Linked DNA regions of Sus scrofa. The protein of the gene in region 1 binds, or shares a complex with, the protein of each later gene. Links are inferred from orthologs where the notes say so. Each region holds a gene or a part of one and is shown on either strand. Other genes may lie near its edges. The genes, in order: RAB11FIP2 and RAB25.

Region 1 (2,998 bases):
TAGAGTCCACACAGGGATGGGTCTAATCCTTAAGAGTTTTTATACAAGCAAAGAATCTCTCCTTAAAGACGAATTTCCTTACAAAAAGAAGAGTAGTACTTGAACCATACTTTTTCATGAGCTCTATTTACATAAAACATACCCCCAATATGACACTGACATCTTGGTTCATTCTATAAAGAGTAAATTTGGCCAAAGCATACTAAAATATCTGCAGATAACCTGTCATAATACTGAAAACACATGGACTTCAGTATTTTGAAAAGTGCAAGAACTTCAATTACACTAAAAGAAAAAACAAATGCTTAGACTTCTGTAACATTTGATAAACGATAACTAGAAATGGCACCAGGTTAAAAAAGTAGTGATTACCAAGACTTCAAATGGGAAAATAAAATTCTACATCAGATTGTGAGGTTTATTACAGAAATTCATAAGTGGAAGAAAAAGTTGATAAAAGCTATTTTTTCCTTCTCTGTTTCCTCATTTTAAGAACTATCTAATTTTCTGCATTTGGGAAAATGTGTCAGAATTTCAAAATGTATGCTCTCATAGGAAAAGTAAAGAAACCCAGAAAATACATATAATAGTAATTTTAGCTTACAAATACAAGCTCGGCCAAATATTATCTGATTTAAAACATTAAACCGAACAAAACTATTTCATGTCCTTCGTATTTAACTTTCAATGAAGTCTTGGTAGAGATAAATGCTAGACAAAAAATACAGTTTGGTAAAAGACTGGGGAATGTATGTCTCCATATACTGCTGAATTTTTCATTTTCAATTCTGAAGACACAGATTCAGTATATTACAGTACCACAGACTTTTTGGGTTAAAAATAAGCAGTAGAGGATTAGTGATATTTTTACTCATTATCTCTCACTCTAAAGACTAATTTTGTTCAAATACATAAAGATAATTTATGAAAGCAGTCAACATTTCAGGAGAGCGGACTTTAAAGAAAAGCCGCTCAGAATCTTGTGATAAAACAATTCCTAAAGGGTGGATGTAAAAAGCTGTACTAGTAAAGATGTGTTCCAAACACTCACCTCTCCTTTAGCAACTCTTATTTTGGTTCAGAACCCAAATGCAACCATCTGTTCTATTAGATAACTTGCAACCAAGCCTAATTCTTCGTTCCTATTATTTGCTCACTGCTTTGGGTTATCAGGCATCAGATGATCACATACTTTTTTCCCCCAAATTATCTTCAGCTATAACTTCCTAATCTTTTCTTTGCTAGTATTTTAAAGACATTCAGAATCTGAACAAATCATGTTTGCTTACCTTCGGCTTAGAGCTCAAACGAAACTCAAATGTTAAGACAAAAAATTCAAGAAATTCATGCTGTTGAAGTTTCCTAAAATATGTCATTCTTTTAAATAGGACTCTGGATCATTACTTTTGGAAAAAGAGAAAAAAACTGATGCTGGAGAAATAGTAGCAGCTCATTTTGAAACCGAGGTGCACGTAGTCAAGAGTAATTTGAAGAAGCTAATAGACCATCATCGGAGCAATGATGATTTGTTTTGCATCGACAGAGCAGCACACATACCTTTTCACATTAAGAAATCCTAACTGGTATCCTAATTTTAGAGGCAACCAGTTGTTTTAAAATGTTCTAAAAACACACGTATATAAGAGGTATTGCATATATTTTATATACAAAGATACATGAACAGATATTCATGTACATCTATATGTATATAAAATAGGAACTTTTTTAAAGTAGTGTTTATAATGAGCAGTATTCTTGCAGCGAAATGTCTGCAAATTGACTTCTGAGAAACCAACCACAGTATCAATTCTGCTTTATGGGAAATCTATTCCTGAGGAATAAGTCATGTTCTTCTCAAGAAAATCTAGGCCTATGGGAGGTTAGTGGGCCGGCACCAGCACCTAAGGAACTGCTTATTCATCGAGCATCTGGCCCATTTTCACGCTAAAGGTTGAAATTATTTAGCTCACTTCAAAGGTCACTCTTGATAGTCTCTGCTAATATTTACAAGTAAAACAATTTTTTCACAATGAAGGAGAGTACGTAATGAAACCTGATAGTGTGGTCTCTCTCAGCAACAAGCTTTTCTTCTATTTTTCTTTCTCATTCTTCCTTTCTTTTTCCCCCCAGTTACAAATGCAGTACCATTAGCTTATCAGCTATTGGCGAATTTGCCAGCCTTCCTGGACGGCTCGTATGGCACTCTGAGAATGCTGGGCGTTTCTTCCATGACCCTTACGAGGAGGTTGTCGATGTAGTCCTCCAGCTCCCGGATGTGGGTGTCCTTCCTCCTGAGGAGCTCTTTGTGTTTCACCAGCTCCTGCAGCACCTCCTCGTAGGTCAGACTACGATAGCCCGCCGTGGCATCAAAAGGGTTGCTGTCCTAGAACAGGATAAAGATGGTCGTCTTAAGAGAGACAATATCAGGGACAAATTATGAATGGCTTTGTGCTCCAACTTTCTTCAAACCCTCGTCAAATTTCTCTCTATCCTTGGCTAGAACCAATGTGACCGGTCATAGAATGGCTGGCCCCTGTTTTGAGGAAACGACCAGGGCAGATGCACCAAAGCCTTGATCACAACCCTAAATTCTTCTAAAACTATTTCTACCGTGTGGACAAGGTCCCAATATAAGAAAATGACCGTATAATTTAAGGTTAAATAAAGAGATAAAATGTTCTGTAATAAACATAATTCGAAGAGACAAAACCAAAAGATCTGCAAGAATTAACTATAAGAAATATAAGAAGCTACTGAAACTATGCATTTGGACACTGGTTTAGTCCTCATGGAATTTCTTCCACTGAACTGTAGTTTAATGTCATCATGCCTTTACCGTTTTATTGAAGATGGCTACCAGGAAAAAGCAATATCGGATCTGCTTCTGCAATGTTACGAAATGTCGAAGGCATTAAGAATTAAATCCTTATGGGCATCCTTTATAAGAACCCCACGGGAGGAACTACTGTTTTAACTTATAGGCAAACAGACCTTCTTC
Region 2 (4,564 bases), on another chromosome or scaffold:
GTCAGAAAAGAGAGATGACCATTTGGAGGGGCAGGGCCCCCTGGTGAAACCTCCCCCTGGACTTTGGGGGGAGGGTGGGACTTTGTTTTTCCCAAGAATAAACTTCAACTCCTGTCTTATGTCTTGGCTGCTCTCTTGGATGGCGGGAATCAGAGGAGCTGGAGCGTAGCGGGGTTGCTTCCCCGGCTGCTCACGTTCTGCAAGGATGGCTCTCCACTTGCTCCTTCACCGTGACCTCCCACCACCAAATGGTTTTGGCAGGGGTGCCTCGGCTCCCTGGGCCTCTCCAGTGGTGTGGCCTCACCTGGCCCCTGCCATGCAGAGAAGAATCTTACCCACCTGCATGGCGAAACCTTGAGAGTGAGCTCAGAGGAACAAGGGGCTGGTGGGGGTCATGTTGGACAAAGAGAAGAAGGGGGCTGGGAGTTCAGTGTCCTTCAGTCTGGACCTTGAGAGGGTGGGTCCGCCTTTTTTTTTTTTTGGCTCTTTAGGGCCACACCCGCAGCATATGGAGGTTCCCAGTCTAGGGGTCGAATCAGAGCTGTAGCTGCCGGCCTACATCACAGCCACAGCAACGCGGGCTCCGAGCCGTGTCTGCAACTTATACCACAGCTCATGGCAATGGCTTGATCCTTAACCCATGGAGCGGGGCCAAGGATCAAACACGCATCCTCATGGATACTAGTCGGGTTTGTTACTGCTGAGCCATAAAGGGAACTCTCGGGGTCACCTTTTCTACTCTTGGAGTTGAGAGGGGAACCCCTCTGGCTGCCTACAGGAACTGCCCCTTTCCTCTTCTCTAGCCATTCACATGCCTACACAATCTCCAGATCAGGAAGACGTTTGCAGACATGATGTCTTTGCTCTGAAGCTGCAGGTTGTGGGGAGGGAGTAGAAGGCGCCCAGAAGTCTTGTCCCTACACTCAGACCCCTCATCCCATCTGGCAGTTTCTGCCCCAGGTCTCCCCCTACCCAACATCCTTAGAGCAAGGCTCAACAGGGAGCTCTCAGCCCTGTAGGAAGGGACCTGTCCCAGGAAGCAGGTAGTTTGGAAGTTCCAGCTCCACCTAGGCTGAGAAACTGCCCATCCCAGGCCCTGGGCTGTCAGGGAGGGGCAGGAGTTGCTGTATCAGAGATGCAACTCCCAGAGCTCTGCTGCAGCAGGGTGGCCCCAGCCCCTCCCCACAACTGCCCTTTGTCTGCGGTCCCCAGTTACTCCTCACCACAGCCTCTGAGGCAAAGCAGGAGGACCAGTCATTTTCTGCTCCCTGAGGGGTTATTCTCCACTCCCAAGTAGCTGGCCCTCTTAGGGCCACAGGTCCCAGGAGCCTAGCAGTGTGCATTCTGTCCTTAGCTGGCTCTCTGGAGGTCCTGTCTCTCCCAGCTGCCCCCATTGTCACTCCCTCAACCCTGCTCACCTGCTTGCAGGAGCCAGGCTGAGAGCAGACACCCAACCTGTCTAACCTGTCTGACGTCATTATCTCTCCACCCACCTGGGCCCCAGGTCTCCAGCAGCTCACTCTTCCTGTTCTCAGCTTCCGTCCTCTCAGCTTCCTTACAGCACCGCCACCTGCCAGAGCTGAGCCTCCCTAGGCTCTGGCCTTAAGTCAGCCATCGATCCTTCTGGCTGCTGACCGTATTTTTCCCCTCCATGAGAGGAAGGCCGGATCCAGGTCTCTTGAGAGCTGAAGGTTGAGGGCACTGAGCCAACGCATAGACCCTCACCTCTGCCCTTGAAGACGTTTGTGCCCTCCATGCAGAGCCAAGATGGGGAACAGAAGTGAAGAAGATTATAACTTTGTCTTCAAGGGTGAGTTGGGGTCCATAAAGAAAGAGACCAGCAGAGCCAGAGGGCCCCCCTCCTGTTTTTTAATCCCTTAGCAAGATCCCCTCCCAGGGCTCATCATTCCTTCAGGTCAAAAAGAAAGCCACAGGGAGTGGGGAGGGTCTTTTTACTGGGACAAAAGCCCGGAGCTGCAGGAATGCTCTACTGTTGTCAGTAATGACACAGTTGATCACTCCTTACCAATGACAACTGAGGCCCCTCTGCCCACATCCTAATAGAAGCCCAAATCCCTAGGAGTAGTCAGCTACTGCAGCACGAGAGACGGAGGTCAGACTTCAGAGAGGATTCCCTCCAGAGAAGAAGGGGAAGAAATGCATCTTTCTGGGCAGGTGTACAGGAAAGGAGAGATCGGAGAGAATGATCCCATCACAGGGCTGGATGAAGACACAGATGTAAGGAAGAGGGCACAGGGAATGGAATCTGGAGGACTCCTAGTGCCAGGGCCTTGTCTGTCTGTCCCTTGGCACACCCCTTGGGCCCAAATACCAGGAACTGGGTTCAACTTTCTGTCCCTGGACGTCTGCAGGTATCCTTCCTGCTCCTTTATCTCCTCCCTGTGTTTGGCCAGTCTAGTGTTCCCCGCCCCCCACCTCCACACCTCCTTCAGGGCAGGGTGGACTGGCAGTGCTGCGATTCCCTGTCCAGCCACCCCACCCCACCCCACTGCCTCTCCCAGCCTCAGCCCCAGCCCCAGCCCCACCCTCACCTGAGCTGGGACTCTCCGTCAACCAGGGATCGGTGAACCTGTACTCCCGGCATCTTTCTCAGGAAGGGAGATAGGGTAAGGGTTAGCAGTAGACTGGGGCAGTAATACTACTAGTAACCGCTGTTTGTTGAGTTCTTGCCATGTGCCAGCTACTAGTTCATTAATCACCACAACAACCCCAAATTTTGAAAACACTTTGAAGTCAGGAGCGGGACCAAGTTCAGATCTCAGCCCAGCCACTTACTAATTATTGCAGAGGGGGGGTCACTAGAAGCAGGCGCTGAGAAGTTTGGAGTGTAAGATATTTACTGTGGATCAACAACAGTGAAAAGAAGAGGGAGGACACAGGACTGGGCAGAGGGAGAAGTTGCACTGCAAGGCAGAATCACAAAGCCTCGGTCAAGGGCAGGGAGCTGGGGCATTGGGTGCAGGCTGCCCGGGGAAGGCATGACCTCAGGTGAGGCTGCTCCCTACAGATGTTGGACTTCCCTGTTGTGGCTCAGTGGGAATGAATCTGACTAGCATCTGTGAGGACGTAGGTTTGATCCCTGGCCTCGCTTAGTGGGTTAAGGATCTGGTGTTGCCATGAGCTGTGGTGTAAGTCAGAGACACAGCTTGGATGAGGCATTGCTGTGGCTGTGGCGTAGGCCCGTGGCCATCGCTCCAATTCGACCCCTAGCCTGGGAACCTCCACGTGCCATGGGTTCAGCCTTAAAAAGACCAAAAAATAAAATAAAATAAATAAAATAAAATAAAATAGAAAGAAAGAAGGAAAGAAACAGATGTCGAAGGAGCCAATGGCTGAAGGCTGTGTGCTGACTGCACTCCCTGCAGCTGGGGGCAAGCTGGGGGCAAGTCCTTCGTGGAAGCCTCATCTGGGCACCACACCTCGTGTTTACCACACTAGCTGGATTGTCTTGCGCAAGTCATTTAAAAATGGGGTGATATTAATAATGGTACTTGCCTTGTGACTTTGTTGTGAGGATTAAATGGATTCGTATGTGTAAAGCCTTTAGAACAGTGCCTGGCACATTGTAGGCACTCAATAAATGTTAACCATTAGTATCTCCATTTTACAGAGGAGGTGAGACAAAGAGCAAGTAGCTTTCAAAATGTTACAAAGTCAATACTCAAACCCAAGTCTATCTGACTCCAAAGCTCTTTCCCCAAGTCCTTCTGGGGCCTGAGGATTGAGTTCAGAGCCCATCCACTGGGAGGGCTGAGAGGTGATGAGATCCCCAGTAGGGGGGAGAGAGAGTGGTAGGAACACACACACACACGCGCGCACACACACACACACACACACACACATGTCCATACCTCCTCTTACCCACATATACCCCTATTACTCCCAGCTCTTTCCTTCCCTAACAAATAAGGAATCTTTTTTTTTTTTTTTTTTTTTTTTTTGGTCTTTTTAGGGCCACACCTGCAGCATATGGAAGTTCCCAAGCTAGGGATAGAATCAGAGCTGCAGCTGCCAGACTATACCACAGCCAAAGCCATAGCAACACCAGATCCGAGCTACATCTTTGACCACATCAGAACTTTCAGCAACGCCAGATCCTTAACCCACTGAGTGAGGCCAGGGATCGAACCAGCATCCTCATGGATACTAGTTGGGTTCGTTACTGCTGAACCACAATGGGAACTCTACTCTTTTTTTTTTTTTTTTTTCAGCTGCACACGCAGCATGTGGACGTTCCCAGGCCAGGATTTGAACCCGTGCCACAGCAGTGACAAGGCCAGATCCTTAACCCATTATACCACAGGAGAACTCCATAAAGAAGGAATTCTTAAAGTTGGAGAGAGGGAATTGTGTCATGGCTCAGTGGTTAACAAACTGACTAGGAATCACGAGGTTGCGGGTTCGATCCCTGGCCTTGCTCAGTGGCTTAAGGATCCGGCGTTGCCGTGAGCTGTGGTGTAGGTTGCAGACACGGCTCGGATCCCGTGTTGCTGTGGCTCTGGTGTAGGTTGGCACCTGTAGTTCCAATTAGACCCCTAGCCTG

Evidence for each region.
Region 2: the proteins of RAB11FIP2 (region 1) and RAB25 are in contact, whole or in part, in a crystal structure (PDB 3TSO), measured with the Homo sapiens proteins. The link is inferred for Sus scrofa from reciprocal best matches to the Homo sapiens genes RAB11FIP2 and RAB25. Residues at the interface, in NP_055719.1 of Homo sapiens: Arg475, Glu478, Ile481, Asp482, Asn483, Leu485, Val486, Met489, Pro493, Ser494, Leu496, Arg497, Val498, Pro499; in NP_065120.2 of Homo sapiens: Arg34, Ile45, Gly46, Val47, Glu48, Phe49, Ser50, Thr51, Lys62, Trp66, Arg73, Arg75, Ala76, Ile77, Ala80, Tyr81.

Annotation. Positions count from the first base shown.
Region 1 is NC_010456.5:128,069,987-128,072,984, forward strand, and holds part of RAB11FIP2 (rab11 family-interacting protein 2), read right to left. Parts: intron 2,384-2,998; coding exon 2,156-2,383; 3' UTR 1-2,155. UniProt on the Homo sapiens protein: A Rab11 effector binding preferentially phosphatidylinositol 3,4,5-trisphosphate (PtdInsP3) and phosphatidic acid (PA) and acting in the regulation of the transport of vesicles from the endosomal recycling compartment (ERC) to the plasma membrane.
Region 2 is NC_010446.5:93,967,667-93,972,230, reverse strand, and holds the start of RAB25 (ras-related protein Rab-25), read left to right. Parts: upstream 1-1,488; 5' UTR 1,489-1,767; coding exon 1,768-1,810; intron 1,811-4,564. UniProt on the Homo sapiens protein: The small GTPases Rab are key regulators of intracellular membrane trafficking, from the formation of transport vesicles to their fusion with membranes.